3 linked regions of the Drosophila melanogaster genome follow. The protein of the gene in region 2 interacts with the protein of the main gene of each other region in a pairwise test. Each region holds a gene or a part of one and is shown on either strand. Other genes may lie near its edges. The genes, in order: Sys1, Mpcp1 and frc.

The links.
Region 1: the proteins of Mpcp1 (region 2) and Sys1 interact in a two-hybrid assay, tested with the Drosophila melanogaster proteins (one large-scale study listed by BioGRID).
Region 3: the proteins of Mpcp1 (region 2) and frc interact in a two-hybrid assay, tested with the Drosophila melanogaster proteins (one large-scale study listed by BioGRID).

The regions. Positions count from the first base shown.
Region 1 is NT_033777.3:8,648,009-8,657,205, forward strand, and holds Sys1 (Sys1 golgi trafficking protein), read left to right. Parts: upstream 1-5,002; 5' UTR 5,003-5,112; coding exon 5,113-5,277; intron 5,278-5,347; coding exon 5,348-5,469; intron 5,470-5,537; coding exon 5,538-5,733; 3' UTR 5,734-5,839; downstream 5,840-9,197. Other genes in the region: Mkk4 (MAP kinase kinase 4), read right to left, coding at 714-888, 954-1,039, 1,271-1,411, 1,470-2,311, 2,473-2,503; SLIRP2 (SRA stem-loop interacting RNA binding protein 2), read left to right, coding at 3,109-3,384; Dhod (dihydroorotate dehydrogenase), read right to left, coding at 3,505-4,674, 4,729-4,776; CG42489 (uncharacterized protein), read right to left, coding at 5,868-6,101; bel (belle), read right to left, coding at 7,777-7,898, 7,970-9,197.
Region 2 is NT_033778.4:20,276,248-20,286,814, reverse strand, and holds Mpcp1 (mitochondrial phosphate carrier protein 1), read left to right. Parts: upstream 1-5,687; 5' UTR 5,688-5,827; intron 5,828-5,877; exon of another isoform or gene 5,878-5,971; intron 5,972-6,205; exon of another isoform or gene 6,206-6,225; intron 6,226-6,369; 5' UTR 6,370-6,387; coding exon 6,388-6,580; intron 6,581-6,649; coding exon 6,650-7,414; intron 7,415-7,480; coding exon 7,481-7,647; 3' UTR 7,648-7,749; downstream 7,750-10,567. Other genes in the region: CG16868 (uncharacterized protein), read left to right, coding at 81-347, 410-1,169, 1,225-1,899, 1,956-2,537, 2,600-4,665; CG9143 (uncharacterized protein), read left to right, coding at 7,993-9,418, 9,477-9,596, 9,654-10,106, 10,165-10,348, 10,411-10,567.
Region 3 is NT_037436.4:17,424,958-17,437,858, reverse strand, and holds frc (fringe connection), read left to right. Parts: upstream 1-4,668; 5' UTR 4,669-4,883; coding exon 4,884-6,005; 3' UTR 6,006-7,521; coding exon of another isoform or gene 7,522-7,742; intron 7,743-7,799; coding exon of another isoform or gene 7,800-8,004; intron 8,005-8,258; coding exon of another isoform or gene 8,259-8,482; intron 8,483-8,555; coding exon of another isoform or gene 8,556-8,712; 3' UTR 8,713-8,923; downstream 8,924-12,901. Other genes in the region: CG12229 (uncharacterized protein), read left to right, coding at 1,612-3,327; CG32176 (uncharacterized protein), read right to left, coding at 1-252, 316-1,346, 1,482-1,535, 3,403-3,465, 3,526-3,670, 3,722-3,922; Coq4 (coenzyme Q4), read left to right, coding at 7,522-7,742, 7,800-8,004, 8,259-8,482, 8,556-8,712; Gorab (Golgin, RAB6 interacting), read left to right, coding at 9,114-9,213, 9,298-9,997, 10,055-10,271; Polr3G (RNA polymerase III subunit G), read left to right, coding at 10,790-10,933, 11,003-11,131, 11,189-11,551; COX7B (cytochrome c oxidase subunit 7B), read right to left, coding at 11,664-11,720, 11,780-11,949, 12,219-12,264; Sec3 (secretory 3), read left to right, coding at 12,760-12,901. UniProt on the Drosophila melanogaster protein: Involved in the import of UDP-sugars from the cytoplasm into the Golgi lumen.

The sequences.
Region 1 (9,197 bases), on a different chromosome or scaffold from region 2:
GCCGCTTGGCAATTATTTAAAGCTTTTCACAATCATTTTCATTATGCAAATTAAAAAAATATAATAGGATTACAAATTCTGTTCAATAAATAATGTAAAATTGTTTTTGTTGAACTTGTTACTTACGCTTAACGCGCATTGGTGTTTCTGTTAGTTGTTTGCATGGCTAGCAACTCTCGTTTTCACGAAGCTGTTTTTTTTTTACAAATATTGCTTAAGTTTCGCATGTGGTTGCTTATTAACGCAAAATGCATTTCCAATTAGTCTGCTATCATTATTTATGATAGATAAATCAACCGGATTATAAAATGTTCGCTTGATTGAGGCTAAATAGGCTTTTGGCTGGGAGTCCGAAGCTGGTCAGTTATTGGCCCATATATTCGCCTGTAACCCGCCGCTCGCCTGTTGTAAACACAAATTTATTTTCAACACAAAACTTAACGCACAAAACTGCGAATACAAAAGTTATTGAATTATAATAGGCTTTAGGGACTTTAAACTATACACACACATTTTGCTTACTATCAGCTTACACACTTTTCGCTTAGGTTTGTTTTTCTGTTTAACAAAATATGCGCTAGGTTTTCTACGAATGCTACAAAGTAGACAACAATTAAAACTTTTTATCTGCTTTCCTTCTGCTTAGTTATGCATGCTGTTGTGTTCTTCTTGAATCTTAGTTAATTTATGACTTGCATCTTCGCTTAGGGTGATTAACTCTCCGCCTGCTGATTGGCCGTAAACTGCGTAATGCCGTCTTTCTCCATCGACTCCAGTATATCAGCCACATACACGGCAACATCAGTGTGGCTCGTCTCGCCACGACGTATGAAGGGCATCTCCAGCAGACGGCTATACTTGGGTCGATCGCTCTCCTTTTTAATTAGGCTAAAACGATAATAATGCTTTATTAGTTACTATTATTAAGTTTTCTAGGCTTTACTGGTGCTTACCAAGTATTGACAAAGTCCACAAACTCTTTGGAAAACTCCATGCCGTTATAGGATGTCAAAAGTCGCGGCGGTTCGCCTTGCACAACCTTGAATGTTAATATTATGAAAAAGTCATTAGCCAAAGAAAATTAGCTTCAGATATTATGATAATTTACTATATGAAAGACAATACGATAAGACAATCAGCAAATAAAATGAGTCATTAGTCAATGCTTATCTCTATTAGATTATTCCTAATGACGAAAGGGAACAAGACGAACGATATTTGTATCTCATTTTAAAAGAAAAACTATCCTATTAAAATGTTTTATGTTTACCTGGCACAACTGCTCGAAAACAGAGTCCCATTTACGATAGGGGAAATTACCAGTCGCCACCTCCATTAATGTGATGCCCAATGACCAAACATCGCTTCGTACATCGTAGCCCTTGGCACGTTCTGGATCAATGCGCTCCGGCTGCACAAATGCATACAATTGCGGTAAAAATGTTGTGAAATCAAATGACAATCATTACCGCCATGTAGGGCCTGCAGCCCGCATCCTTGGTCTTGGCAATAGAGTCGACCAGCTGACCCGAAATACCAAAATCGCACAGCTTTATGTCTCCGCGACGGTGCAACAGAATGTTGCTCGGTTTCACATCCCGATGGATAATCTTTAGCTCCTCCTTCAAATAGTTCAGCGCATTGACCGTGGCCACTGTTATCTTAGCCAGTATAGACTCTGGAATGTGGCGCTGCTGCTTTTCGTAGATGTACTTGTAAAACTTGTCCAAAGAGGTGTCCATCAGCTCCATACAAATCCAGCAGTCACCCTCCTTGAAAAGCGCCCCATAGAACTGAACAATGTAAATGCACTCGTTGGACTTCATGACCACCTCGAGATCCATGAGCAGCTGCTTCTGTTCCTTCTCGTCTACGGTGGATCGAATGCGCTTGACGGCCATCACCTTGTCCAATTTCTTAAAGGTCATCTTGTTGACTGCCCCAAATGCACCGCGTCCAATTTCGCCCTCATCCTCGAGATCGTCTGAAGTAAATGTGTGTGTATTAGCGCCGCCCTCACCAAACTGTAGCTTGCCACAGGCCTGCTGGCGAATTCGCTCCCGGTGACGATCGGCAGCGCTGCTGCTCGATGCTGCCGGCACCGGTGGCACTTGACTGCTGGCCACCGGCGGGGTTTGCTGTGGCTGCTGGGCACCAAAACAGCGGGTCACATGGTTGTGCTGTGATGAGGAACTTGAGCCCGAGGAGGTGGATCCCGAAGAAGTGGACGACGTGGACGAGGGCGGATGGCGTATGCTAAGATTATTCAGGCTTAGCTGATCCGGGGGATTGCGGGAGCGACTGGATCCGGCTGGAATGTGTGGGAAATGGGAGAATTTAGGAGGCTTCATAGATGGCTTATCGCCGCTGCACCAGATTTCCAAACTATGCGTCACCCAGCGAGTATGTGGTCCTCTTCGGCTGCATGTGTATGACCTGCGTGGGCGGTTCGAGACCAAAGGGGTAACTCACTTGCAAACAAATTTTTCGGTCGTTCGGCCATTGTGTGTGGTGGCTGAAAGTATCGATGCGCCTTTGTGTGGCTGTCCTAAGGATGTTTTGTCCGTTTTCTGCAGGCGCCGCGCCCCGAATACAACACGTCGACTTGATGCTCCTTTGGCCCTCCGATCGCCTGGTTACTGGGCCGCCTTTGATGGGCTCTTCGCCGTTTGCAACGCAACTACTTTTTCAGCAATCGAGCGCACTGATATGCACTTTTTCCGCAATTTCGCTAAACATTTACATAAATAGCAACCAAAACTTAAAAGAGCTAGAGATGAAACATTGATTATTTGCGGCCAATCGATAGCCATCGATAGTATGCGCACTAGCTTGCGATAAGCAGTCCTGCAAGGTGCAAAAGTAGTGAGGTGGGTAATAAAACGAATATAAAAATGTCACCTATAAATAATTATTTCTTTAAAACCAAGAGATTTGAGTTTCTATTTTTCACAAATTAATCCCAGCTTTGTTAAAGTTTTTACTAGTTGAAAAGTTACATTTCGTCAATAAGTGACGTCGACGCCTACATAAACCAATCTGCGCCACCTTAAAATCAATGCACAATCACCAGTGATTTAAAACCAGAAAATTAAAACATACATAATCATGTCCAGCGGATTTGTTCGCAGCAGCTACAAATTGTTCGTCGGCAACCTGCCATGGACGATAGGTAGCAAGGAACTGCGGACCTACTTCTCAAAGTACGGGCACGTGGCCAACGCGGAGGTGGTCTTTGACCGGCAACTGGGCCTGTCCAAGCACTATGGCTTTGTGGTTTTCAGCCAACGGGATGCCTTCAACAGCGCCAGCAACCAGAACACCCATTTCCTCGATGGACGAGTGCTCACAGTCCAGCGGGCGAATGAAAGTCCTCAGAGTTAATCAATGAAGAATTTAATGATTTATTGGTTAGACCAAAGGAAAAGCATGAGAAATGTTTGTTAACAGCTTAGTTTTACACAAATGAATGCAGCACTTGCTTCAAATCGTGGCATCTTTGATTCATTTGGGCAAGTAGAACTTGCTGTTGGTGCCCACCACGTCCGCAACATTAGTGTGACCCAGCCGTGTGATCAGCGCCGACAGCTCCGCCTTAATGTCTTCCACAAGAGCGGGTCCCTCGTACACTAAAGCCGTGTAGATTTGGACGTAGGAAGCTCCAGCTTCGATCTTTTCGTATGCATCATAGCCGGAAGCCACTCCGCCGACGCCTATGATGGGAATCTTTCCATCGGTGAGCTGGTACATCTGGGCGATCATCTCTGTGGAGCGGGCCTTGAGTGGAGGACCACTTAATCCGCCAGTTTCCTCGGCCAGCTTGTTCTTTTCGATGTTTTCCCGCGACACCGTGGTGTTTGAAACGATCAGGCCATCCACGCGGCTCTTCTTGCGCTTGATTACCCACACGATGTCCTTCATGTCGTCCAAAGATAGATCCGGCGAAAGTTTCAAGAGTATAGGCACATTCTTGTTCTTATCCAGGGAGGATTTCGTGTCGTTGACCTGTTCCAGGAGCTCTCTTAGCTTCTCCTTGCTCTGCATATCGCGCAGGCCCTTGGTGTTCGGACTGCTCACATTAATGACCAGGTAGTCTGCTACGGGCCCGAAAACCCGAACACCCTGTACATAATCCGCTATCGGGCTCATGGTGGTCTTGTTCCGGCCCAGATTCACGCCCACAACTCCATTGAAGTTCTCCTTTTTGCGGAGCAAGCGCAGCCGTTGGAGCACGGCCTGATGCCCGTCGCTATTAAATCCGTACCGATTAATGATGGCCTTGTCCTCGGTCAACCGGAATACTCTCGGCTTGGGATTGCCCTCCTGAGCCGCCGGGGTAACTGTGCCCACCTCTATAAATCCGAATCCTAGATCCTGCAGGCCGTCCACCGCCTCCGCGTTCTTATCGAATCCCGCTGCAATGCCAATGGGATTGCTAAGCATCCGGCCAAAGAACGACGTGTGCAAGTTCTGGTCATCATGGTACTGTGAAACCGGGCACAGGCGGTACTTGCACGCCAGCACGGCCAGTTGATGGCTGGCTTCCGCCGGAAGAAGTCGCACCGCTGGCATCACGAAGGTCCGGAACAACTGGTCCTGGTTCTTGTATGCCGTAATGCCCGCCACCAAGGCAGCTCCTCCGACTGTAACGATTCCCAGCGACCGCAAACGACCCTGTGGGCGGAATCATTCTGTAATCCGGTCCCGTTTAAGCCGTACTTTACTCACAACTCTCCGCGTGGCGTTTTTAGCATTCTTTAAGTGATCCTGATCCATGACGACTATCGCCGGATATCGATTGTACCCGATAGAGTATTAAAAGTATAATATGTAAAAAAGTAAATGCATGTACTAGAGTTTTAACGAAAATTCAATTTGGGAGTAAGTCTGGCCATTTTGAAGGAAAACTCATGCGATATATAGTTACTACGGCAAGCATCAATAATTTTCTTTTTTTTCTGTGTAGCAAATGAACCCCTTCTATTCACAACCATGCCGAAGAGAATCGATAGTCCTCCAGTGTCACCTCTAATGGTTGAGTCAGTTTGTTATGGCCAGCTAAAAATTAGAAATTTCGTTCTCTAAACGCTGATTTGGCCACCCGAGGCAACCATGAAGGGCGGCACCTTTCGCAACACGCAGTGGGATCCCACGCTGCTGTCCTCACAGATTGTGTCCATGCAGTTCTGCGTGTACTTCACCCTTGGCCTACTCGTCTTCGTGGCCAACAAGTTGTCCGGGGACAACTATAGTCTGGATCACTTGTTCGAATACCATGTATGCCATATGCTATATACCATATATCATGGAAACCCCTCTCCTTACTTTGATTTAATGTTGCTTAAAGGAGATCCACATCTACGACATGGGTGGCCGCCTGGTGATCTGCGCATTTGTTTTAAATGCGTTCTTAGCCTCCCTGGCACTGTGGTGCATTGTGAGAAGAGCCAAGCTCTGTCTGGACTTTAGGTGGGCTTATAGCTAGTGCACACACTTAATCTTTTGCTTTTACAACTCATGCTTCCCTTTCATGGCAGTTGCACCTTCCACGTGCTGCATTTGCTGATCTGCTGGTGGTACAACCGCTCCTTTCCCGCGAACGCATCGTGGTGGCTACTGAATGTCATCACCGGCACAATAATGTGCATAGGCGGCGAGTTTCTCTGCCTGCAGACCGAGATGAAGGAGATCCCAGTGGGCTATGCGGCCCTCAATCAAAAGTCGGACGTCTGACTCGAAGCCACCAACTTGTGATGCCTGCTACCCCCCCAACCAAGCCACCCAAAGCAGCTTCTGTGTACATGTAATTTATTGTTAAACTAGCGTAAGATTACATAGCATATAAACACTATATTGTACTTCTACTTTCAATGTAATATCTGGTAAACGAAGGGCGGTCTCTGCCGAAGCTTAAGTTCCTCAGGTACTGCTGACGGCGGCAGGGAGTACTTTATTCCAGATCCACTGTAGTTCGATATCATTGACCATAGTGACTCCTCGCGCGGCACAAACATCCAGTAGCTGAAGGCCAGCATAAAAGTACCGATCAGCGATGCCAGTAGAAGCAACATCCAGCACGGACCATGATGTGGCTTCTGCATCCTCGTCGTGTTTATATGTTGACAGTCTGAAATTGACACAGCTGAGATCCGCGAATACAACTGGGAGTGCACTGAAAATTTCCGCCGGACTGCCGAAAATAATAATAAAACGGGGTGTGGCCTAGTCAAGCGCCCACGCTGTTTATTATTTCAAAATCCAGCGATCAAGAAGCGTAGAGCTTTGCTGTTCAAGCAAATTTATCTGGCAAACAAACAACGACAAATCGACAAGCTCCCCTCTTTAGAAAACATCAGAGCAAACTAATCAACTTGCCCTATCTAATCTAATTAGCAAACGGGTAGGCATCGCCACGATCGTCACATCCTCGGCACTATTTGATGCATTTCCTACTTACATTCTCGCTCCCCACGTTTCGAACATTCAATTATACTGATTGCTTAAATGTGCATAATTGAAGCTTTGCCGCTGGGAAACCGGCGACAAAGCTCTCATCTGAGAAGCTCCTAAAGGTTACTAACCTATCCTATGGATATTCCACTCCTTAATTATTTTGATAATATGGCCAGCAGCTCGTCGCGGTTGAAAATCCAATGATCTCTTACATCGAAACGTATTGGTTCGAAAAGCGTACTGAACTAAAACCAAAGAACAGGCAACTTGCCAATTCTTATCAATGGAGCTAACTCAAAAAGTGATATCAGTAAGTAAATAAATCTTAATTGAACATATTTATGAAAAGATAATAGGGCGCCAAGGAATTAGTAAACGTTGGTGCTTTACAGCGTTATCGGACACGATCTGCCAATCCCAAAAAAATCACCTGTTACACCAAATGCAGAAAAAATTAAAAACAACCATGCGAGTTCTTTTTCTCATTTGCTAAATTATTAAGCTTTAGTTTAGCAAACTTGTTTTTTTTTTGTTTTAATTACTTGTTTGTGTTGGTTTCTTGTTTCATATAGTACATTCTATCTCGATCTATATATTTAATAATATATATACCATTACTATTTTTATGTTTTCTTCGTTTAAAATCATCAATTGAAGTTCAAGGATTTGCGCTTTCATCGTTTCGATCCGACATTGACAATATTTATGTCTAGATATATATATATATATATATAAGAATACATATATATATATATATATATATGTATATTAAGAGTTCCAAGAAAAATGATGTGTGAGAATTGTAACTTATGGACAAAAATTCAAAAATTTTATCATTTGCTTAAATATTCTTAATATTTGTGGTTGTTTAGCATATTTTAAATATGTATGTGTTTGCTTGCATATCCTTCAACTACGCGCATCGAATTCATAAAATATAATGATGGGTGAGATGGAAATGGAGGGCGGCTTGGGCTGGCTATACATGAATGTAATATACTTTCGCGATGGACTTGCACAGTTTATTATTAACGCTTGCTCCTGGTTTTTGAGGTTGTGAGAGAGGAGTGAATTGCTAAACGAGGGTGGGGTGGAGGGTGCATCTGTGTATCTTTTCTGTATTTTCGTGATTTGTGTTGCGCTGCGCACAGACAGTTTCTCTTTCACATTTGCTGTTCCTATATAGTATACGTGTGTACACATATATAGTTGTTATCGACTTTGTTTTACTCCGTTTGGTTATTTGCGAAAGTGGCTACGATGCGACTGCTGATGCTGCTGCTGCTGCTGGCCCAGGTCCTTTGCCTGAAGCTGAGGCCTTGCTCATTGAGCCCACCAGTCGGGTGCGTTCGAAGAGTGCGAGGCACTGCCGCCGCCGTAGGAGCCGCCATAGGAGCCACCACCGGCGCCGCCGCCATAGTATCCACCGCCGCCCGAATTGCCGCCTGTAAAGGAAATCCACTGTTAAGTTTCTGCCTTTAAACTGATTACTGCTGATGGATGATTCCACACTCACCAAACTTACCGTACGAGTTTCCATTGCTGCGGTAACTGCCGCCGCCGCCTCCTGATCCGGAACCACCGCTACGTGGTGGCGGTCCACTGCGTCCGCCACCGCCGCCGCCAGAGCTTTGACGGTAATCCCTGGAGCCGAAGCCGCCACCATAACGTCCACCACCGCCTCGTCCAGCCCGCTTGGCTCCGCCATGTCCGCGATCCGAACTCATATCCTCCATGAAACTGGGGATCTCCTGCTTCGTTTCGATCAGCAGCTCCAAGAGATCGGAGCAAATGTTGCGGTTCTTTTCGTTGAAAAAGGAGGTGGCCACACCAAGATTACCCATACGTCCGGTACGCCCGATACGGTGGACATACTCCTCCACATCCGAGGGCAGGTCAAAGTTAATAACGTGCTTAACGTGCGGAATGTCCAGGCCACGAGCGGCCACGGCTGTGGCCACCAGGATGGGGCAGTCGCCCGATCGGAAGCAGCGCAGTGCCTCCTCGCGCTCCTTCTGCGTGCGATCACCGTGGATGCTAGTGACGGGATGATTGCACTGGTACAGGAACTCCTCCAGCGAGTCTGCACCCTTCTTAGTCTCCACAAAGATCAGTGTTAGGCTGTCTTTGGTGTATTCGGGGCCATCGCGGATAGACGAGAGCAGATCCAGCAGATACGAGCGCTTGTCGGGTTCATAGACCCACAGGATTGTCTGCGTAATGTTCTCAGATGTGGAGCCCACACGACCAACGGCCAAGAAAATGTAGTTGCTGAGGAAATCGCTGGCTAACTCCTGGATCTGCTTGGGGAATGTGGCCGAGAACATAAGCGTCTGGCGCTGTCCGGTTGGCGGCATGTTTAGCTGTTCGACGATGCGACGGATCTGCGGCTCGAAACCCATGTCCAACATACGATCAGCCTCATCCAGTACAAGGAATCGAATGTTCTCCAGTCCCACCTTTCCGCGTGTGATCATGTCCTCTAGGCGACCGGGTGTGGCCACAATCAGATGGCAACCGCGGTCCAGCTCGCGCATCTGCTCGCTAGTATTGTTTCCGCCGTACAGCACTGCCGGGCGCATCCGGGAGCGATAGGCGAACTTCTTGGCCTCCTCAAAGATCTGGGTGGCCAGTTCGCGGGTCGGCGCCAGCACCAGACCCAACGGATACTGCTTGCGCCGGCTGTACTGCCGGGTGCTTTGCGGCGGGGGCACATGTCCCAGCTCGTACATCTGGTTGAGAAT
Region 2 (10,567 bases):
CATTTCATTGTCTTCCAGATATGCGGTAAATTCAATAGTATGCCCCAGTGGCCACGGAGTCCGCCGGAACCACAAAAACCATGTGGCCCAACAGCAACCTAAACGCCGTGCTGCTCATCCTGGCAGTGCTGGCGTGCCCAACTAGCAGCCAACATGTTCCTCTGGCCATGGCCAATTCAACTAGCAACCAAGTGCCTACGGATCCTGGCTTCATGCCGCTGCAGCAGTCGCCGGGAAGCGTCTTTTTCGTGCACCACAACCAGCAGAATGCCATGCAGCTGCGACATAGCATGGAGGGCAAGCTGCGGAATATTCGTAATACGGAGCTGAGGGTGGCCAAGATACAGGTGGGCTATCAATACTGCACAAGCTATTAAACTCCATTTTAATGCCCACAATCCCCTTCCAGGAAATCTTTGACTCCATGCACTTCAGCAGCGCCAAAGGAGCGTCAAACACTCGTCAAGCTTCGAGCAACGATAGCAACGTGGTCAATCCCCAGTTGCAGCGGGACTTGCAATTGTTTAGTGAGCGTCTGAGCAAGAAAATCCAGAAAGCCACTTACGTGGTGTTGGAACTGCGCGAACTGCTTCGCTACAACCTGACCAAGGTCTGGCAATACAGCTACGACGACGAGGATGATGAGTCGGAGAGCGAAATGGATCTAGAAATGGAGCTGGAAGATCTACATGCCAGGAACACGGCCTCACCAACCGATGAGCATGTGCAGCTCTACTTGAACACCCAAATAGAGAGCTGCCAGCCTGACTACGAAACGGACTTGGAGTACGGCTCCTCATCGACCCAATCGATTCACTACAACAGACAGCAGATCCAAATCCTAAACTATCTCAAGTCGGATGATGCACGCGCTACCTTCCTGAATGAGAATAATGCCCGTTCCTTGGCTGTCAATGGCTACATATCGAATCAACTAGTACTACTCAAGCGCAGGCTCAGTCGAAGCGATGCGGAAAACTCGAATAGCAAGCCAATTAGCGGGAATCACTTTAAACACATATATTTCCTATCCAATTCGGATGGAGCCTCTGCTAGCCTCCATTTTCGTCAGCTCTACGTGTCAGCTATTAAGCAGAAATTTGTGCTCTTCCTCATCGACGTGGGATCAGCTCTAAGCGCGGAGTTATTCGACCTCTCAAAAAGCTTTGGTAAATTATTGATTCTTATTGAAAGACAACCAAAATCAATTGTGTTTATTTTCAGTTCACGAAATGCTCCAGCTGCTGGAAGATACGGATAAAGTTTCACTGGTGACGGTTGCGAGTGAAGCGAACTTCATGTCCCTAGAAGCCTTTCCCGCCGAGGCTGGTCACGGCATCTACAGTGCGACTCGTGCGCACAAGGAGGAAATTATAAGCTTCATTAACAGCTTGAGCCGGGCACAGGCCTTTACAAACCACTCCTTGGGATTTGAGTACTCCTTTGAGCTACTCCATCGACTGCAACAGTCGGGTATGATAAATACGGCAGAGCAACCAGTGGAATTCGTTTACATTACTCGTGGTCTGCTGACCAACTTGTCTGATGCAATGGCAGTACTGCGAGTAGTGGCCGATGGTCAAAGACGACTCAGGGCTCCAGTGATCATTAACACATGCGCAGTGGTGCTCGACGAGAAGCGTATAATGTACGAAAAACAATTCCTTAACGACGTCGCCAGTCAGAACTACACCAAGTACGAGATTGATGTGGCAAGTTGGTGGCCCAGTGGACAGGAAGCGTCTGAGTTGGTTGGACGCTTCTATGTGCTCAGCAAAATGCACGCGGAAACGTCGTTACCCCAAACGAGTTCACGGATATTTGGACCGCTCTTTCAAGAGCGATATTTGAGTGATACGCTGGAAGTTCATCCTCCAGTTGTGGACGCAGACAGCGGAGGTAAGTTAAAGAACCATTAATCTTGATTTCCCAATCAATATTTTGCCTTCTTGCAGATGTTCTTGTCTCCATCACGCATGCCGTTCCTCCCTACGGTGTTGTAGGAGTAAACTTGTACCTGTCGGATCTGCTTGAGGATCTACTTAACTACCCCAGTACTACATCCAGTGCCAAGCAGGGCTTAGGGTATGCCTTTCTGCTCGATCGCTCGACGGGAAACACGCTAGCTCATCCGGCTTTTCCACGACCGCTCATTCAGCGCGAGACCTCGTATCCCGTAAACATCGCCTATCTGGAAAACGCCACAGATTTTTCCAGCCATATACGGGATCGCCTTCTGCGCGAGGAGAGCGGTAATGTCACCACGGATGTCTATGTGGGCAGACAGCGACTGCAGCGTACCTACTACTGGCAATCCGTGCTGGGATTTTATGTACTCTGCCTGGTAAGCAGTGGCGGCGACACACTGCGCAATGTTTCCTCCACGCAACGTTACAACCTAAAGGACACCGTGTCCAACTACGAGCCCGGCTACTATGGTGAGAGCATGGACCTACTCTACCATCGCCTGGATTTAAACCAAGGCGGCAGTGCACCGCCAAAAACCTGTCGCTACTTCAGACAAGTAGCCACAATGGGTGAGTTTTAGTCATACCCCATCATAAATGTTAAAACATAATTATATTTAAAATTCTTCCAGATGCTCCAACTCTGTTCCTGAGTGCTGCCGCATTCGAGTCTCCGTTCGGATTCCTTCACAACAATAGGCCTCGCACCCAGCTGCGGCATGTGGAGTCTATAATGGCCTATCTTCGCGACTCAAGTGGCCTGCTGGCCAATATGGGCCTGCGTCCCAGTATTCGGCACGAAGTGGGCGTCCTTTACCAGGCGATGCAGCAGTTGAGACGACGGCACCAGGACGCAAGGGGCTCACTACGCAGCCATGTCATTCGACGGTACATCGCCAGTGTGAGTGGAGTGCTGCAATTGTACCCAGGTTGCTTGCTTAGCAGCAGCTATGATCCAACGCGAAGGCCATGGTTCCGACAGGCAATAGCGCAGCCTGGAAAGATTGTTAGCACAGCTCCGTATCTGGATGCCGGAGGAGCTGGATACATAATCACCATTGCGCACACCATCTTCGAAGGCAAGGCCCATGCGCTGCACTCTGCCCAGCAGGACAGACCCGTAGCAGTGGTAGCCCTGGACGTTCCTTATGCCTTCTACTATCGCCTGATCCTGGAGGGCACACCGATCTGCCAGCTGCCGCATATAAAGTGTCTGCTGTTCGAGCACGAGGGATATTTGTTGGCTCACCCCAGCATGTTGCAGCCCGCCACACTCACGAAAAACCAGCGACGTCCACATGAGCACCTCACACACAAGGAATCGTATTTGGCCAACGATATGTTGAACCACGGCCAATTGGTACGAAAACTCGGCTGTGCCAGCTACCAAAACCGCACGTTGCAGCGTTACTACGCCTTCAACACATCTCTGTCCAGCATCCTGGGCAACGTAGTGCACGGCGAGCGAACCAAGTACGCGATTGCCCTGATCCGTGGTAGCAATCTATTCGCAGCCGTACTAAACTCCAGCTGCGATGGCGGCGCCTTTTGCCCGTGCAGCACAATCGACAGAGAGTGTCTCAACTGCAAGCGAATGGACCAAACAGACTGCGAGTGTCCTTGCGAGTGTCCAATGGTGGGAGACAGCAGCTCACCATCGTCCCTCATGTACTTTGCCAACTACACGCGACAATTTCCGTACTGTCCACCGCCAAGTGAACATTTCATTGCACTTCCACCGACCACACAGCTGCTGAGTACTCTGCCGAATTGTCCTGGTTCTGCTGGCATATGCGAAACGTATTCCACTCAAAGAGAATGCCTCGGAGTGATGGGCTGCGAATGGTGCCAGCTGGATGTGGACGGCAATAGTTTTTCGACCTCCTTCTGCTCGTCCCAGGCGAGCTGCTTCAACGGAGTACTTGCCTCGCTGACACCCTACGGTGAGCTGGACGAGATGGAACTGCTGGCCGCCCACAATCCGCAGAGAGAGCAGCACGCTTACTCTGCATTTGGTCCGCTAGGAGGAGCCATTGTGGTGCTTGTCATGGTGATTGGCTTTGCCATCTACTGCTACAGACACAATCTGGATGCGCAGACGCAGGAGCACTTCTATGTGGATTCGGTACAGGAAGAGAATTACGGCTTGCCGCTGTCCAGGTTCAACTTTGACGATTGCAAAGCGCATGACGAGCCGCCTCTTGGTGGCGGCTATGACCACGCATCTGCACAGCGGCAGCTGATGCACGCGGCGGATATTTCGCCCTACCACGTTTCCAGCGGCAGTAGCTATCGCCGGCCACCCAACGGTGAGTCGGATCATGGCTACAGCACAATGACGCCGCACGAGGACAGTTCCGATCAGCAGTGCTTCACGCTGGCGGAACCTTTGCTGCTGCACGACAAGCGGCACAGCAAGTCGGACACCATGTCCATATCCACATCCATATCGAGTCCCACGAATCGACAGCAGTCCTCCTCGCAGCCAAACACGCATCCCTACTTGAGCAATCAGCCGACCTCAAAGACGGAACGCTACAAGCAGGTGCAGGCCACGCCCTCGCCATGTCGCGGAACGCCAGCAGGTGGTAGTGTCTACGGGCAGACGACGTTGCCCCTCGAGGGGGATAAGACCCGGCCACACTATATCCTGGCACCAGTGACGGTGCACCGGCACATGGAAACTGCCGAATCGTAGTCCACAATAGCGTTGTTAAGTTTTAGAGCGTAAGATGTCCGCTTGTTTGCCAATTTAGTTATGTAAGTTTCCAAAATGGGCAGTTCAACTGCCGACAGTCCAGAATGCTGGGCCCGCATTCCAAACCCGCAATGTGTTTTGTGAGCTCGCGGTGGCCTCCATTGTTGGCCCATCTGTATCTATTAGAGCCTCCGTGGACGAGACGAACACCAACTATTAAGTGATGACATTGTTTCTGCCATTTTTGATCGATGTATTGTATTTGTATTGTATTGTATTTTACTGTAATTTATTGCAAAAAGTATTACTATATTATGTGCAGCTATATACTTCCGATATTTTTAGCATTTATTTGATAAGCACCAACAACAGAAATGTACTTACTTGTCTGATTGTAAGATACCATGTCGTATATCGTTTTTTGTAATAGCCCCTAAGACTACAGAGTTACTAACTACTGATTTTAGTAATACACATCTATAATAGCATTGTACGTTTCAAATAAAATGTTTAAATTTTGCAAAAAAAACCCACAAGATCTTAACCTTGATCCAGAGCGATCGGATGAATCGATTGGGCTGCCAATTGCTCGTCCTCCGATCAGCTGGTCGTACGTTAATGAAATTATTTTTACACCTATACATTTTATAAGCAAACCAGACGCTGCTCAATGGGCTCTTTTTTTGCTGTGGTGGCCAAGAATTGCCAATTTATAAATAACAATCTCTATTCGGGGGTTGTCAGGTGGCTTTTAGAGCAAAATTAGCTATGGATCTTTGGTGTAAGTTTTTACCCGATACCCAACCATTTCATAACCGTCATTAACCGATGTCATAAGGCTGAGATAGCCAACATATTCAATATCTTCAAAAAGAAAGTGTCTTTATACTGATTAGCTGTGCATTTGCTGTGTAAGTTCTTACCCGATACGCAACCGTTTCGAAACCGTTATCAACCGGTTGGCTTTGCACTCGGCTGGCAACCCTGAACCGAAGCTGCTAGCTCTCACTATACCATTGCAGCCACTGCATTTGGTTTTCTGGTCTGGCGCACGACGAACGTTGCTTTGGGTCCCCACATTTCAGCCCAACAACGACTCTATACTTCAACTATATCTAATCCCTATCTGCACTTCACCTCCTTCGATACCCCGCACTTTGAAGTGAGTGTTTAAGTTTGCTCGGTGTTTTGAAAACCGTTCTGTTTTCGAACATTTTCGAAATATACGCAAAGTGATACAATACGTACTCTGGGGAGAACATTACGCAATGCATAAAAAGTGTTTGGCGAATGAGAAAAAACAATAGTTATGTAAAAAATAATGCAAGTATACATTCTCAATTTCAATATAACTTGATAAAAAAAAGAAAGTTTATAAAAAAAGTTTTTTGATGAAGTGATTTCGGATTGAATATATTATTGCCAATGCTTATCATTTACTATTGCTAATTAATTTTTAAATTATAATGATACTAGAAAAACAGTTTTTAAATAATTGTATAATCTTTCAGGATTAAAGAACATAACTTCTATGTGCTCAAACGTTTTTGACAAAAGAAAGTACGAAATATTAATTTATAGATGTAAAAACAATTAAAATAGATTAAATGTATTTAGTGTAGGCGGTACCACTTGCAATTTAGTTTGTTACATCATGACCTTAACCTTAAACCCATTCGAAACCCTTGATCTCTGTTTTCAAAGGCACTTCTCTAAGGCATCATGTTTAAGTCCCTGTTCGATGCCGCGCAGAACTCAACGTTCAAGTCGCCATTCACTAGCGTCAACTGCCAGTCAGCCACGCCCACTTCCGCCCCCACATCCACCGCGGTGGTGACCCCCACCCTCAAGGATGTTGCTCCACGCCAGCTGACTCGAAACCACAACATCGCTGCCGCTGCCGTTGCCGAGGGTGGTAAGTGGGACAAGTCCTCCTGGAATCACCAATGAGTTGGATATATAAGTATTGTTAATACCTCTGCAGACTCCTGCGAATTCGGCTCGAACCACTACTTCCTGCTGTGCGGCCTGGGCGGCATCATCTCGTGCGGCTCCACACACACCATGGTGGTGCCCCTGGATTTGGTCAAGTGCCGCCTGCAGGTGGACCCGGCCAAGTACAAGAGCGTGTTCACCGGCTTCCGCATCAGCTTGGCTGAGGAGGGCGTCCGCGGATTGGCCAAGGGATGGGCACCCACCTTCATCGGCTACTCGATGCAGGGTCTGTGCAAGTTCGGCCTGTACGAGGTCTTCAAGAAGGTGTACGGCGATGCTATCGGCGAGGAGAACGCATTCCTCTACAGAACCGGACTCTATTTGGCTGCATCGGCATCCGCTGAGTTCTTCGCCGATATCGCCCTGGCGCCCATGGAGGCGGCCAAGGTCAAGATCCAGACCACGCCCGGATTCGCCAAGACATTGCGCGAGGCTCTGCCCAAGATGACCGCCCAGGAGGGCGTGACCGCCTTCTACAAGGGCCTGGTGCCATTGTGGATGCGCCAGATCCCATACACCATGATGAAGTTCGCCTGCTTCGAGCGGACGCTGGAGCTGCTGTACAAGTATGTGGTGCCCAAGCCACGTGCCGATTGCACCAAGGGTGAGCAGTTGGTGGTGACCTTCGCCGCCGGTTACATTGCCGGCGTGTTCTGCGCCATCGTCTCGCATCCGGCGGACACAGTGGTGTCCAAGCTGAACCAGGCCAAGGGTGCCTCCGCCCTGGACGTGGCCAAGCAGCTGGGTTGGTCTGGTAAGTGCTGACATTTGATGGGATTTCCTGTTCCTCATCTAAAACATTCGCTTTTTTCCAATTCAGGATTGTGGGGCGGTTTGGTGCCCAGGATCGTGATGATCGGCACATTGACCGCCGCCCAGTGGTTCATCTACGATGCCGTCAAGGTGTTCCTGCGCATGCCACGCCCACCACCACCAGAAATGCCCGAGTCCCTGAAGAAGAAGCTGGGCGTGACTGGCGAGCAGTAAACCAAATATAAGCTAACTGTTTTTAAATTTAGAGCGAGCAGAATGTTAATCGAATTAAACTTGATTTGTATAGATAAACCACACAGTAAATAAAAACCACACAAAAATTAAACGCTCTTTGTATCAAGGGGTAAAAGAAAATTTCAATTTAAAATAACCGCCAAGCTCGAGTGCACACCTCCATATTTTCCAACACTAATTTAGCACTTTTAGTTCAATACCGAACAGCTGAGCTTAACAGCCCCGTCCAATGTCAACAAACAGAGGGAAGAAGAAGCAGCATTCAACACGCGGTTTTTTGAACTGCATTTTTATTTCACTTTTATTAAGTTAAAATAGATAATTATGGTTCAGAATAAACAGAAAACAGCGAAGCCACCAAAGCTGCTAAAAGGCGCAGCCAAGGAGCCTGCACTTTCGAAGGCGGAAAACTGGCAGAAGGTTAAAATCAAGGGCCACGTGATATCCGACGATGGTGGCGGCTTCGAGGGATTAATTGGCCTGGAGGTCCTCAAGGACTACGATGCATCGCTGGTGAAGTCCTCGCAGAAGAGGACCACATCCCGGAATCCAGACAGAGAGCGCAAGCTGAAGAAGAAAAAGAGGAAGGTATCGAAGGGCGACGAGGAGGAATCCAGCGAGAGTTCCAGCGAATCCGAAAGCGAGGATGAAGTGGCGGTCGCTGCTAGGACCAGTAAAAAAGCCCGCCTGGCCGAGCGTCATGCGCAAAAAATGCAGAAACTGCGCGAGAAGCGTGAAAAGCGAAAGGAGCTGCGGAAACAGAAGAAATCGAAGGGCAAGGAAAACGACAACAGTGAGGAGTCCAGTGATGAGCACGCGGCAGATCGTTTCGCATTGCTCAGGCCACCACCATCGGACGATGAAGAAGAAGTGGTCAAGGCGGAAGATTCGGCAGACCAACAGGAGTCGACCGACGAAGAAGCACCCGAATTAGTGCCCATCTCCACAGGCGAAGCCGAAGATATGTCCGCCTGGAACGGCCTGGGTGTTCCCGCTTCCATTTTGCGTGCCCTCGGCGAGCAAGGCTTCAAGACGCCCACACAAATCCAGGCACTGACGCTGCCGGCTGCAATCCACGGCAAAAAGGACATCCTTGGAGCAGCCGAAACGGGCAGCGGAAAAACCCTGGCCTTTGGCATACCCATGCTCGCCGGAATCATGGAGCTGAAGCAAAGGAATATTCGCTCTGGCATACGCAAGGCGCCCAAGGTGAAGGGACAGCAGCCGGAGCCAGCGGCAGATGAGCACGAGCTGACGCCCCCGCCGGAGGAGCTGGATCATGTTTCCGGTGCCAGTGATGAGGAGAGCGATGCGGAGGAGCAGGCCCAGCGTGTACAGACTCCTCTGTACGGTCTGGTTCTCACACCCACCAGGGAGTTGGCCGTGCAGGTCAAGAATCACCTGGTGGCTGCTGCAAAGTATACAGGCATTCGAGTGGCAGCCATCTTCGGAGGTCTAGCTGTTGCGAAACAGGAACGAGTACTTCGCCAGTGCCCGGACATCGTGGTGGCCACACCTGGTCGCCTCTGGGAACTTTACGCCCAGGGCAATCGACATTTGGGCAAGATCGAGGATGTCAGTTTCCTGGTCATCGACGAAACGGATCGCATGGTGGAGAAGGGACACTTCGAAGAGCTGCGCAGTCTACTCAAGGTTCTCAATTCGGACGAGCAGAAGAAGCATCAGCGCCAAAATTTTGTTTACTCGGCCACTCTGACGTTGGTCCACGATCTTCCCGATCACATGCAGAGTAAGTTACTCGGATCTTTTGAGATTCCATTAAGTAACCAAAACTCTTTCACTTTCAGAGCGAAATGTAGGTAAGCGGCCCAAATTTGTGAAACAGACGGTGGATCAGAAAATTGAAAGTCTTATTGAGGAGTTGGGCATTTCCCAGCCGAAGATTGTGGATATAACCAGTTCGCAGCGTAAGTATTCATAGTTAATCATGAACTAAACAGCAGATTTATAAAGTCCACTTGCAGAAACCGCACAAACATTGACCGAGAGCCGTCTGCTGTGTCCCATCGATCACAAGGACTATCATCTTTACTACTTTATTCAGCGCCATCCAGGACGCACCATTGTTTTTTGCAATTCCATCGATTGCGTAAAACGACTGGCCACGCTCTTCGGCCTGCTGGACTGCAATCCCCTGCCCCTGCATGCCAACATGATCCAGAAGCAGCGTCTGAAGAACCTGGAGCGATTCCGTGACAGCCCGACAGGTTTGCTGATAGCCACTGACGTGGCTGCTCGTGGCCTGGACATACCGAATGTGGAGCATGTGATTCACTACCAAGTGCCGCGCACTAGTGAGAACTACGTACACCGATCGGGACGCACTGCACGAGCGAATAAGCATGGCATAACAGTCATGTTTATGGAGCCGGGCGAGGTCAAGAGCTATGTGAAGCTGTACAAAACATTGGAGAGAAGTGAGTGAGAGACTTCTAACAGGAAGACAGACGTTCTACATATTCGTTTACTTTTTAGCTGAGGATCTGCCGCTTTTCCCCATTTTGGAGCGTTTTATGGGAGCTGTTCGCGAGCGTGTGAATCTGGCGCGAGATCTGGACAAGGAGGAGCTGAAGCTGAAGCGCGTGCAGAGTGAGCGCGGCTGGATGAAGAAGCACGCTGAGGAAATGGACATGATCATTGATGGCTACAATGACGAATCGTAAGTTTTTTTTAACAAGATCTCATTAAAATGAAGTCTATGACTAACTCTTACTTTTGCAGTGGCAGTGACCAGGATGAGGATCCATTTGTGATTGAGCGACGTCGCAATCGGCTGCGCGTGGAGACAGTTAGAGCGCAGCTCAATGCTCTCCTGGCCCAACCCATCTTCCCCAGAGGCTTCAGCTTCAAGTATCCCAACAGCGAGGCGGCCCAATTA
Region 3 (12,901 bases), on a different chromosome or scaffold from region 2:
TTATTTATCCCCCTTGCTACTGTTTGAAGTTTTACGCTGTCGGTGCTGCAGAAGCTCCTGGTATTGCTCTATGGATCCGTCTTCATGCTTGGAAGTAAATGAATCCGGCTTTTCAACCTTGGCCTGCTCCTCGCCGGCGGTGACTTTGGTGCGCTTCGATTTCTTGAGCTTGTCACGGACGCGTTTTCCCAAACGCGATTCGGCCAGCACCTGGCTGACCTTGGAGCTCTTCATGTAGCGTGAACGCCAGGACTACAAACAAAAGGATTATTGTGTTGAAAAAAAGGTACTGTTTTGAGGAGCATTTAAAAATACCTCGGAGTCTGCCTGCTGTAGTTTGTCGCGTTCATCCTCGCTTGTGTCCAGGGATATGACATCGTTGTCCAGTTCCTCAGGATCCTGCATCTTCTCCTTTTTCTCGCTTTTAATGCTTACCCAAGGTGAATCGTCATCCTTCGTCATTTCCTCAATCATTTCTAGATCCCCACCTATTGAAATGACGTCGTCGTTTTGATCTTCGTCGTCAAGGGCAGTTGGCTCGGCTGCACTCGGCTTCTTTGGCTCTGCAGGGGGATTAGCTGGGAGAGCTTCTTCCGACGGTGGTTCCTTATCCCCTGTTTTATCTAGCTTATCAGACGTATCCGATACTTCTGGCTTATTACTTTCCAGTTCTTTCGAAATAGCTGCTGCTTCTGACTCTGTTGGCTCATCTGGATTGGCTGGGTCAACTACCTTAGCTGGCTCTTCGGGTTCATCGCGCACTTCTCCCTCCTCTGGCTCGCTCTCAACGACTGGGGCTGGTGGGTCCGATTCGACTTGCTTAGTTGTAGTTGTTTCAGTTGTCTTCTTTTTGGTGGCCTCATCATCCGTACTGTCGCTGATCAGCAGTGTTTCGGGTTCCGTTTGTATAGGTATCACATCTGGTGAGGCTGAACGTGATTTGGAACGTGGCAGTTTGTTTAAATCGTTAGATGCAACCAAAGTTTCGGATGAAGTAGTAGATGTTGGAGGTTTGACTTCCTTTTCTGGCGACTTTGAAGTCCGCCTATAGTTTCTTTTGATCTTGATTCTTTTGCGGGGCGCTTCCTGCTCCTTGCTGCTGCTATCAGGCTGGGATGGAGATGTTGGTCTAGCTGATTCCTGCGATTTGCGCTTGCTCGAATCCGTTTTTTTAGTGCTGCGTTTATCCTTTTCCTTTCGCTGTACTTTCTCCACTGGTACTTCGTCAATATCATCATCTGACTTGACCTCTATTTTGGTGATTGGCTCCATTGCCAGTTGGGAGCGGATGGCCCTGGCACGTGCCTGAAGTTCCAACAGTTCCAGCACGCTCATTTGACCACCCGCTGTGGGAGAAAAGAATACCTTAGTAACCTGAACAAATTTGCCGTCAAACGGGCGCACAGTCTCAGATGGCTGTTGTTATCATACTTTCGGTCGATTTCGATTAGTTTTTATACATTCGTAAAGTTTGTACTTACACTCTTTGTTTTCATTCCCATTGTTCGTTTTCTTGGATCTAAGCTTCTTCTTGGCTGAAAATCAGACAAGATTGACACAGATTGCATTACAAATTGTGCTAAAGTATACATAAATTAACTGCACGCCAGGATGCCGATCAACCAGAAAGAAGTAACGCCGCAACTAGACAGTCAGACAGGTGAGGATCAGGGGGAGGAGGAGGAGCAGCCGGAAGACGAGAATCGTCTGGAGAAGTTTACGGTGCGTCTTAATGGACAACATGACCTGGAGCAGCGTTTAAAGGATTTCAAAGCGGCATGCGAGGCTCACGAGAAGCACGCCAGACGGCGAAAACGGAAGAGATACTATCATTTGGGTCTTGTGGCCAAGCTGGTGACGGAAACCACTCACGACGAGCTGCGACGTATGCTGGAAAATGGAACCTACACCTTTCACGTGGATACGGTGGGCAACAAGCCCGATGAACTGAAAGCCATTTTGGACACCATGAACATTGCGATATCGGCGCATTCTGCAGAGAGGGAACTACGTCTGACAACTGGCTTGGCTCTGGAGATTAACGGCGAGTGCTGTCGCGTTGGGAGACTGAGGAACAACTGCACCGTGATGCTGGCACGAGGTGGGGTGGTCACACTCACCACGGATGAGTCCTACCGCTACAAAGGCTTTAAAGAAATAGTGTACGTAATCAATCTGCGGTGTTATCTCGCCTCCGTTCAGTTGGGCGATATTGTGATGATCGGACGTGAAGTTAGAGGTAAGGTGGTGAAGACCCTGCGGGAAGCACTAACCGTGATGATCATAGATGCCGGTCTGGTAGCCTCCTACGACTTTATAGAGCTTCCTAGACAGTGCCACGCTCTCGATCCGGACCTATATCCCGATCTGTACATGAAGGACCTTGAGATGGCCGCGTCTTTGAATGCCAACTATGTGGTTCTGCCCAAGATACGATGCAAGAGCTTTCTTCGTGCCGTGCGGCAGACCTTGAACTCGGACTTCAACCTTAAGTTGATCGGAATGATAGATTTCGAGTATGTGCGAAGTAACATGCTTGATTTGCTAGGCATCATTAAGCTTGTGGACTACATTTGGATACCCGACATGTTCAACGTAAACTGTTGCGTATATAACTACATTATGGAGGACGTGCTTCCGATTTCGCAGTGCCAGAAGAAGCCAGTCATTGGCACTGTTCCGCTGGAGCGTTGCAGTGATTTTAAGCGATTTGAGTTGCACGATTTCCTGTGGAAGGTCGACGCTATTCACATCCAAAAAAGTCCATGGTGCAACAAATATCCGCTGATAGTCAAAAAGCTGATGCCCATAAAAGATTATCGTGTTGGCGCGGTCCAGAATAAGATGGTACTGAAGAGCATCCTAACCTCATACCAGACCATTGTGAATTTTATTATCCGCACAATTAGCTCGATTGAGTGTCAAGCCATATTTTTGTTCACCACTTGCGAGACCGCCAGCGTGGCCCTTTCGCGTATTGAGATCTATTGCCCAGTATATGTGATGGTGCCGCTGGAGGAGACAGATGATGCGGAAACCATTACCTGCAAGGTGGAGCTCGCTCGTGCGCTTCATTTGCGCCGTAACATGCACCCGGTTCTTTACACCAAGGATCTCAACGAGTGCAGCTACAGTCCGATTGAGTTTGGAGTGGACTTTATGAGGAAGAAGGGCTGCTTGGAGGTTGGAGACTTTGTAGTTACCCTGGAGGTGGGCAAAGAGGATAAGGATAACGTGGTCATCGGCATAGGAGAGGATGTTTGCATCCTGCGGGCATTTTACGTGTCGCCGCTCTTTGCCTGCGAGAAGTTTAAGTACGGTGGATAACTTTACGGCGTGCAGTTGTGCAGATTACACAGATAATAAACTCTAAATTAAATGTATCTTATGCCACCAACTCACTTTTTCGGGATTCCTGACCTCCGATGTCGCTGTCGGATGATATCTCCTCTAGCGAGATGTGTTCTGAAATGAGACTTTATAATGAATGGTGGGTTTATAGGGCAAGGAAGTGATTCAACATACCTTCTTTGTGCTCCACATCGGAATCTTCGGAGCTTTCAGTGTCTGTGGGACATTTGGTGTTTTCTATTATGGATTTTAGCCGCTTCGTAGACAAGCAGAGTAACTCCTCCAGACAAAGTTCCTCGATTTCGTCTAGTGGCGTTTTCTGCGTGAAATTATTGATAAATAGCTTTTTATAAAAAGAACTATAACACACCTTTAGAAACTCTGGGGCTAGGTTCAAAATGGTTTTCGGTTTTAAGGTCCCAAATATCTGTTTCACCAATTCCAGGCGGTCGTCTATGTAATGGGACATGGGATGCAGCTTTCGTTCCTCCTCGATCTTCTCCTTCTTAATGCTAATGGGCTTGGGGATTTGGTCGCCCTTGCTGGATTTTTTCGCCTTCAAGCCACTCATTTTATCCAATTTGTTGTCAAAATAAAAACCAAGTAATTTCGGTCTTTCGGGCAGCGTTGCCACTACTATTTATACCTTGTGGACAGTGGGACGAAGGCAACAATTTTGTGGGATTAGTGTGAATGGCTCTATTTTAAAATTCAAAACGCAAAGAAAAACGAGCAGTATTACGAAAATGTATTTAATAAAAATTATTTCGTATACTAGGGAATGGCACATAGAATCAATAATTAAAAATGTACAATGGTGTATATTGCCTTTAGGACTGTATTATCCACTGTGCGCTGTTGTTAACAGTGTTATTGTTTTTTGTACAGAACAGCTGATTATCAAGCGGTGTAGGTTGAATTAAATTGTGGGAGTGTTAGTTGTCTTAAAATTGTTAAGGTAAGTTGATGTATTAATTGAACTTGTAATCCATCAGTGTAAAAGTGTTTACGGAAAGCGGTGATAGCAATTTTATATCAGCAAACAGTTTCTTGTCGTAGATATCATGTGAAATCCGTTAGTAAGGTGTTACGTGAGAAATAGTACTTGTGGCAGAATTTTAGAGTTTGGCTTTTATTAATGGGGATCTGTTACTAGTGTAAGTTACATTTAAACACATTAGTCCAATATATATTTAGCATTTTCTATATTTTTGTTTTTTTGACATGCCGCTAGAAAAGTAACAGAAACTGTTAAGTAACAGTGATGGCACATTTAGGTTATTTCATTGGGGAGCGTGTTTTGACAACTCTGCTGCGGCCACACTGAACATATGTTCCGGGGAGAATGGCTGCGATTTCGCGTCGGTAAAAATAGCAAATACTCGTTAATGTGCTGTGGGAACGCTTCCTCCCCGGCCCCAAAGTGGCCCCGAAGAAAGTGAGCAAATGTGCGCGCCGCAAGATAGTCGCCGCCGAACAAACGATAGTGACGAAAGTGATTTAATTCAACTACCAGCACTCCCGCAAATACGATGAGTATGTCGCGCGGCGGCAACACAACTCTGGACTTGCAGCCGCTCCTGGCGGAGAGCGATGTCGGAAACAGGGAGCTGGAGGAGAAGATGGGCGGATCGGCGGATCGGTCATCGCTGCTCGATGGATCCGGTTCGAAGGAGCTGAGTCACCGGGAACGCGAGGACTCGGCGTTGTTCGTCAAGAAGATCGGGAGCGCCTTGTTCTATGGCTTGTCCTCCTTCATGATTACGGTGGTAAACAAGACGGTGCTTACCTCCTACCACTTCCCCTCGTTCCTGTTCCTCAGCCTCGGGCAACTTACTGCTAGCATTGTGGTCCTGGGCATGGGCAAGCGCCTGAAATTGGTGAACTTTCCCCCTCTGCAGAGGAATACCTTCGCCAAGATCTTTCCGCTGCCACTGATATTTCTGGGAAACATGATGTTTGGACTGGGTGGCACAAAAACCTTGAGTCTGCCCATGTTCGCAGCCCTACGACGCTTCTCTATCCTGATGACCATGCTGCTGGAGCTCAAGATCCTGGGACTGCGACCTTCGAATGCGGTTCAGGTCAGCGTATACGCAATGATCGGTGGAGCGCTGCTGGCCGCCTCTGATGATCTGTCCTTCAACATGAGGGGCTACATCTATGTGATGATCACTAACGCCTTGACCGCCTCGAATGGCGTATATGTGAAGAAAAAACTCGACACCTCGGAGATCGGAAAGTACGGCCTAATGTACTACAACTCGCTGTTTATGTTTCTGCCTGCCCTGGCCCTCAACTATGTTACAGGGAATCTAGATCAGGCGCTGAACTTTGAACAATGGAATGACTCAGTGTTTGTGGTGCAGTTCCTGCTCAGTTGCGTTATGGGTTTCATCCTATCGTACAGCACCATCCTGTGCACGCAATTCAACTCGGCGCTGACCACCACCATTGTGGGATGCCTGAAAAACATCTGCGTAACATATCTGGGCATGTTCATTGGAGGCGACTACGTCTTCTCGTGGCTCAACTGTATTGGGATCAACATCAGCGTGCTGGCTAGTCTGCTCTACACGTACGTCACTTTTCGGCGGAAGCGGGCTCCCGATAAGCAGGACCACTTGCCCAGCACCCGCGGCGAGAATGTCTAGCTTCATCTTAGCTCAAACTCAAGCCAAAGCCATACGATATGTTAAGTGTATTCCGTACTGTGTACTTCAATTGCGATCTGCGATTCGCGACAACGTTCGTATTTGATTTTCCTACAACCACACAGCGCATCGTCTCTGTACATATATCTAGCTATATTTCTATAAAAATGTAATTTAGCAATTATGTAATTTTAATCACTTTGTACATTTGTCTGCATGCAACTGTTTCCTGCATCGAAAGTGTCATAAGAAATAGAAATACACAGACTTCCACTCCTCCGCCTACGGAATGGGTGGGCCAGATAAACAATTGTGTTCCGTCTTCTGTTCCATTTTGGGTCATAATTGATAAGATTGCCTGCTCCGATAAGGCATACAACTCGGACGTTGCAAATTAAGCAGACATCTTGCTCTCTCTCACGTGCTTTTCTAATTACTTTTTTGTGTAAAATAAGTAATGTAGTGGAACTGCGTTGTGGGATTTGCCAATTACTTGTGCTTAATAGGTTGTTGTTTATCTATTCTGAGCAAACACGTTGGCGCCTTGAGATTAATACAAAACAAAGTACTGCATTGCCGGACAATCCAGCAGCGTCATCACTCAACATCACTATGTAAAAAGCTTTGGATAGGTTGCTCGATTACTGATTACTCTATATCAAAATTTTGGGTTTTTATGTTGAATAAAAAAAAAACAATATTATCAGCCAAGAACGTGATTGCGAGTGGTGATAGTATTTTTTAGAATAGTACGCCTTCCGATATTTTGTGTTATTTTCCGTTTCATTTGGTAATTGCCTCAAAAGGCTTTTGTTTAGATTGTAGTGCTGAAGAATCTTTTTCTTTGTCTTAAAAGTAAATAAATTTGCGCAGCTGAAACTGTTTTGTTTTAGCGAAATAAGTATGTATACTTTAAGATGGCTATCTATTTTCTTAGAATTAGATTTTACTTGGTAACTGCCTAGTTCCTTATCAAAAGATTAAGATTTAAATATCCCACATATATGTTGCTAAACTTATCTTTTAAATGGTGACTACTCATTTATCCAAAGAAACAACAATGACGACATTGAATCGGGCATAAAGCGGCAGAATGAGGTGCTAGTGCCCCGGCAGCACTTTGTTTGGGTTATTTTGGGAGCCCGCAATATATGATGGGCGGTGGTGAAGTGAGGGATTCGGAGTGGGGACAGGTAATGAGGAAGCCGAAACAGGTTTGCACAGACTTAGCCGTGCGGTGAGGTAAATTGTTAGTCAGCATCAGCCCCGACCGCGTACCCACATTATGGACAAATTGTTTGCTCATATTCGCCGCTATTGAAAGTGGGCACGTACATACGTACGTATGGCTCGAGGGACCAGCTTTAACCGAAGACAGGTAGTCAGGGTCATGTTTGTGTGCGACGATGATGATGATGATAATAATAATGTAATGATGATGATGCCGACGATCGTGCTGATAAGGTCACCACCGGGTGCACCTCCCCATATCTCCTCTATGAATCCACAGATCATCATGATGCAACGCTGTTTGCGTCTCCAAAAGCCGCTGGCCCTACGACGAGGCCTTCGCTTGGCCCAGGCTAATAGCCAAGCGGTGGCCACAGAAGCACCCGAGGCGGAACCTCTGGATGCCTTCGAGCGTCAGTACCTCAAGGAGCGAATCGAGATATCGCCCTTCCAGCGGCTGTTCCTGGGGGCAGGATCCTCCATTGCCGCGCTCTTGAATCCAAGACGGTAGGGCATCTGATGAAATTTAAAAATCTCTTAAAACTCTTAATTATTATTATGAAGTCATGACATGATCGCCTGTTTGGGTGAGACGACTGGAGAGGATGCTCTATGGACAATTTTGGACACCATGCAAGCCAGCGAGGAGGGTCAGCGCATCATGGCTGATAAGCCCCGCATCCACACCAGCACCATTGACTTCAAGTATCTGGAAACTTTGCCACCGGATACCTTTGGAGCCGCTTACGTAAAGTTTCTGAAAGATAATGTAAGTAGTTCAAAGAATCCGGTAAGAAAAAGCGTTAGTAACCATAAAACGACGAAAATCTGGTTCAAAGACATTCCTAAGAGAATTTGGACAGTGAATGTCATGGTCGAATTTGAAGTTGGTAACAATTGAAAATCTTAAAAATTATTGTCTCATAAACATACTTGCATATAAAAGATATATTTAGATGGAAAATAAAATAATAATTGCTTTTGTCCATCGCTTCAACGATTATTTTGGTAATCAATTTTCAGCAAGTCACGCCGGACAGTCGCATGGCCGTGCGGTTTTTGGAGGACCCGAAGTTGGCCTACTTGATGACGCGATATCGCGAATGCCACGACCTAATCCACACGGTGCTGGACATGCCCACCAATATGCTGGGCGAGGTGGCTGTCAAGTGGGTGGAGGCTCTGAACACGGGCCTGCCCATGTGCTACGGTGGTGCGGTATTCGGAGCAGTTCGCCTACGTCCCAAGTGAGTTCAGTGAACTGGGTTCTCTAATTATAGCTCCCCATTCACGCGTTTGTTTATTTTCTCCTCCACTTAGGCAGCGGCGTGCGTACTTGAAGCATTACTTGCCGTGGGCCCTGGAGAACGGCAAGCGGACCAAGCCCTTGATGCCCGTCTACTGGGAGAAGCGCTGGGAGCAGAACATCCACGAGCTGCGCTCCGAATTGGGCATTACTGTGCTGAATAAAGCTTGATAAGGCTGTTTATTTTTAAGCCCATTTTTAAATTTTGAACTTATCGACTATTAGTATCGAGCAGTCCTATCGCGATCGTAGAATTGTGATCTGGCAACGTCGTGTAACGTCGAACTGATTGTAGATGTTTCCACTTACAAAGAAAATTATTATTTGATTATAGCAATAAATATAAAAGTTGATGCAGTTTGCCGAAATAATTTAAAGATCGAGAAAAAAACTTTATATTATTTTTTATATTAGAATTTGAGCACAGTGAGAACAGTCAATTTCCGCGAATGATCGCATCAAAACTTAACCCGATGTGGCAACTCCACTCGTTCTGTTTGCATTTGCTGATGTGTTGTTTTGTTTTTTTCGGTCGATCGTCTTAATGGCTAATTATCCCTAAGTTAAACACCATGACTGAGAAATTCAATGGTTTTAGCCACGACGAGATCCTCAAGATAACGGGCGTGAAGGAGGGCGGTGTGGGCAAAAGGCCTGCGAGTCTGGAAGCAGGTTAGATCACTAAGCATGAACCCCAAAGCGTGTAAACAATTATCTGTTTATAATAAAAACCTTTGCCTATGTGTGCGTGAGCAGCGAAGCCGGCGCTCCGAATTCAACCCGGCATTCGGCGTATGCCCGATAAGATCTTCCGGCAAGCGGATCAGTTACGGAAGCAGCAGCAGCAGCAACCACAGCAACCCATACAAAAACCGGATGTGGCGAAGAAGACCAAATCGGGAACAGCGACTCCCACGGAAAAGCCACCGACTCCCACTCCCGCGGCGGAGGATGACGTAGCGAACGGATCGCTAAATTTGGACCGCCCACTCTCCGATTCATTAATAGAGGCACTCTACCATGGAAATGCTACAGCTAGAGATAAGAAAACTCCCGCCACGTATGCAGATGCTGAAACAACGTCCACCGACGACAGTTCGATTCTGAAGATCAGCGGCGGTGACAGCCAGACAACTAGCTCCACCGATGATGGCAGCATCCTGCCGAGTACCCAGGACACCTCGCCGCGGGAGCGCCTCAACACAGACTCACCTTTCAAGGGCATCTCGCTGAAGGACTTCGAACAGCATCGCCGCATGATCGAGGAGCAGAACAAGCAGAAGAAGCAAATGCTGTACCAGGCCATCGAGCAGCACACCCAGAAGACGGCGGCGGAGTCGCGAAAGATCGAGGAGATCCGCCACGAGCTGTCCAAGCTGGAAAGTGATCTGGCCGTGGACGTAGCTCTGCTGAGGAAGCAGATCGACAATGCCTGCATACATTTTGCCAATGTAGAGTAAGTGGCGAAGCCAAATACTTGTGTGTTTCCCTTATTAATATTTATGTTACACAGAAAACAATACGTCAAAATCGAGGCTCAGTTCTTGCGGGCCAAGATAGAGCTGCACAATGCATCCGAAAAGAAGGAGCTGCTCACAGAGCATCTATGCACAGTAATTGCCCACAACGAGGACCGTAAAGCGCAAAAGCTTACTGAATTGATGCAGAAAGTGGGTCTGTCGCCAACCGATGATTGCCAACCGATTGATTTAACTCAACAAAGCCCCTAAACACGTAACACGTGTAAATTCAACTTCAAATCATCTTTAATTCGAATTTTCAGCGGTGTTTGCTTAACTTGACCAAAAGTATCAATTTGTTGCTCCCTGAAATATTATATTTTTTAAATTGGAAAATTATGTACTAATTTTCCATCGGCTATATTGTATTGGAATTGTAAACATAAAACACGCCTGAAATATGTCGAATGCGCTCTAATATTAGCATGTAATTAATGTTCATAGCCTAAGTGATGAAGTGCAAATTGCAAATAAAATATGTATATGTTATGTGTAAAATTAAAGTGTAATTACTGAAACTGAGTAGTTGGAACTGCGACCTAAATAAAAATAAGGGTATTAAAAAGCGAACATTCTTCAATAATGTTATTGTTTGGCTTTGACTATGTGGCAACACCGTTAGCTGCGGCAACAGCTGATCGTTTTCAGAGTTTAATAAACGTGCAAGCTGAACAATACAATCGGAAATAAGTGTTTCTAAACAGAATACAATAAATTAAGCATTTATAATGGCAGGCCGCGGAAGGGGCGGCAAGACAGGCACCCTCACGGCGGAGCAAATGGCCATGTTGGGATGCACAAAGGATATGCCGGTGCAGACGGCGCCGCCACCTACATTTCCGCCTGTTTTGAACAGACCCACTACCCTAGAAGTGGGTACAAATCCATTTACATTAGTTTAAAAAACATCGATCAACTTTTTACCTGTTTTACTTCGATAGACAACAGCCACACAGAACTATCAGCTCCTGTGGAAGGAGGACTTTCTGAACCGAATGCGAGATTCCCCCTATTACATGATCTCCGCCAGTCGGGACGCAAAAAACCTTGATCACAAGGACTGGCGAGAAGTAATAATACTGGCTATTTTAAATTAGCTGCTTATAATCCTGCTTTTACACCCCCAGAAAGCCATGGAGCGCATGAAGCTCACAGCACAACCCGATTTTAACTACAAAGCCATGCCCCAAGAGCTAAACATCTCCAGTCGAAAACGTCGTGGAGCAGATGCAAGGCCGAATCTGCTGACCAAGAAGACAAACATCGAGGACAGACTGAAGGTTCTGGAGCAGAAAGAACTGAAATCAGGTGGCGGTGAGCAGGACGAGAACAAACAAGAGTCCGATTCCGAACAGGAGGAGGAGGAAGATCCGGAGGCGGCGTTGGATGATGAGATGGACGAGGACAACGACTACGGTGCAACGTACTTTGATAATGGAGAAGCCTTCAATGATGAGGACGACAACTTGGACGATGGTCCCGTTTACTGAGACAAATAAAACCATCGAACTGATTACTTTCGGATCTGTGATTTACTATGTCGCCACTTTAAGCTTATTTAACACAAATGTTGGATTAATTTACACGTAAGGGAACGCTGGCTTAGTCCAGGCTCTTGGGCGCGTAGTAGTTGAAGTGGATGATACCAGAAGATTTCACCTGCAAAGCGTATTTCAATAAGACCGATATGGGATGGAAGGAATATGGCAGCCACTTACGAATCCAATAGTGCCGGCCAGGACGAGAATGCCAGTGATGAGCGCGGCATTGTACTTGGCGTTCTTCTGGCTGTGCTGCTCCTTCCAGTCTCCAGCGGGCACGGGCAGATCGTTCATGGTGGAGTGGGGACCATGTCCACCGTGGTAAGCGGCACGCGACAAAGCGCCAGCTGAAATGAGAGAACAAGAAAGAATATTCAAGTGATTGGTTTTAAAAAGGGGGTAATCCCAACGAAATGCAACTTGGTTAATGATCTCATCCAAGTTTCTTCCGATATCTGTTTGGCTAATTCTGATAATATCCATGGCTATGCTGAAGATTGGTGGGTGAACCATTCCTTCGCAGTTCCTTGAAGTTTCTCCCTTTGCTTATCCACATTATGTAATTTTTAAGGTTAGCAGTTTTGCTGAAAAGAGGTGTTGGGCCACTCCAACTCACCGTTCTTGAGCAGAAGCCCCTGCTTGACAATGTGCTTAACCAACATGATTGCTCGAAAGTAGCTGGAAATGGGTAAATATGGGTTTATTTTCACTGCCAATACTTTTTCGCATTATAACTCACCCGAAGATTACCTTGTGTTGAACAGTGTGACCGTTGTGTTGTTATAGAATAATATCTACCCTACAGTTGGGATGAGATCACGAGCTGCATACTTGTTATTACCTACGATGCGATGAAACCTTCAATGTATCTATTATACTGAAATGTTTAAATAACAATATGATTTAATACATTTTAATTGGTTTCTGTAGTCTTAGCATATTTTTGCTATGTGACTTTTAACCACGTAAAGAACACTCACGCAATGCGCTCATCCCCAACCGATAGTCTGTAAACGCCTCTGCAGAAGCTCTGTTAAATCAGCTGTTGGTGCGGAGGCGTTCTCCAATTGCTAATTGCAAGTGCAAACAACTGGCCAGTTGTTGATTCTTGAAAGGACTTTATTCGAGACCAGTGCATCCCGAAGATATACCCAGCCATGCTGTCCATTGGCGCTATGGCCAACATCAAGCACACGCTGCAGAAGGAACTCTTCTTGGCCTCCGGAGAACGCCTCCTTTCTGTGGTGACGGTGGTCAAGAAGAAGGACAAGAAGCCGTGCTACCTTTGCGTTGTCACCA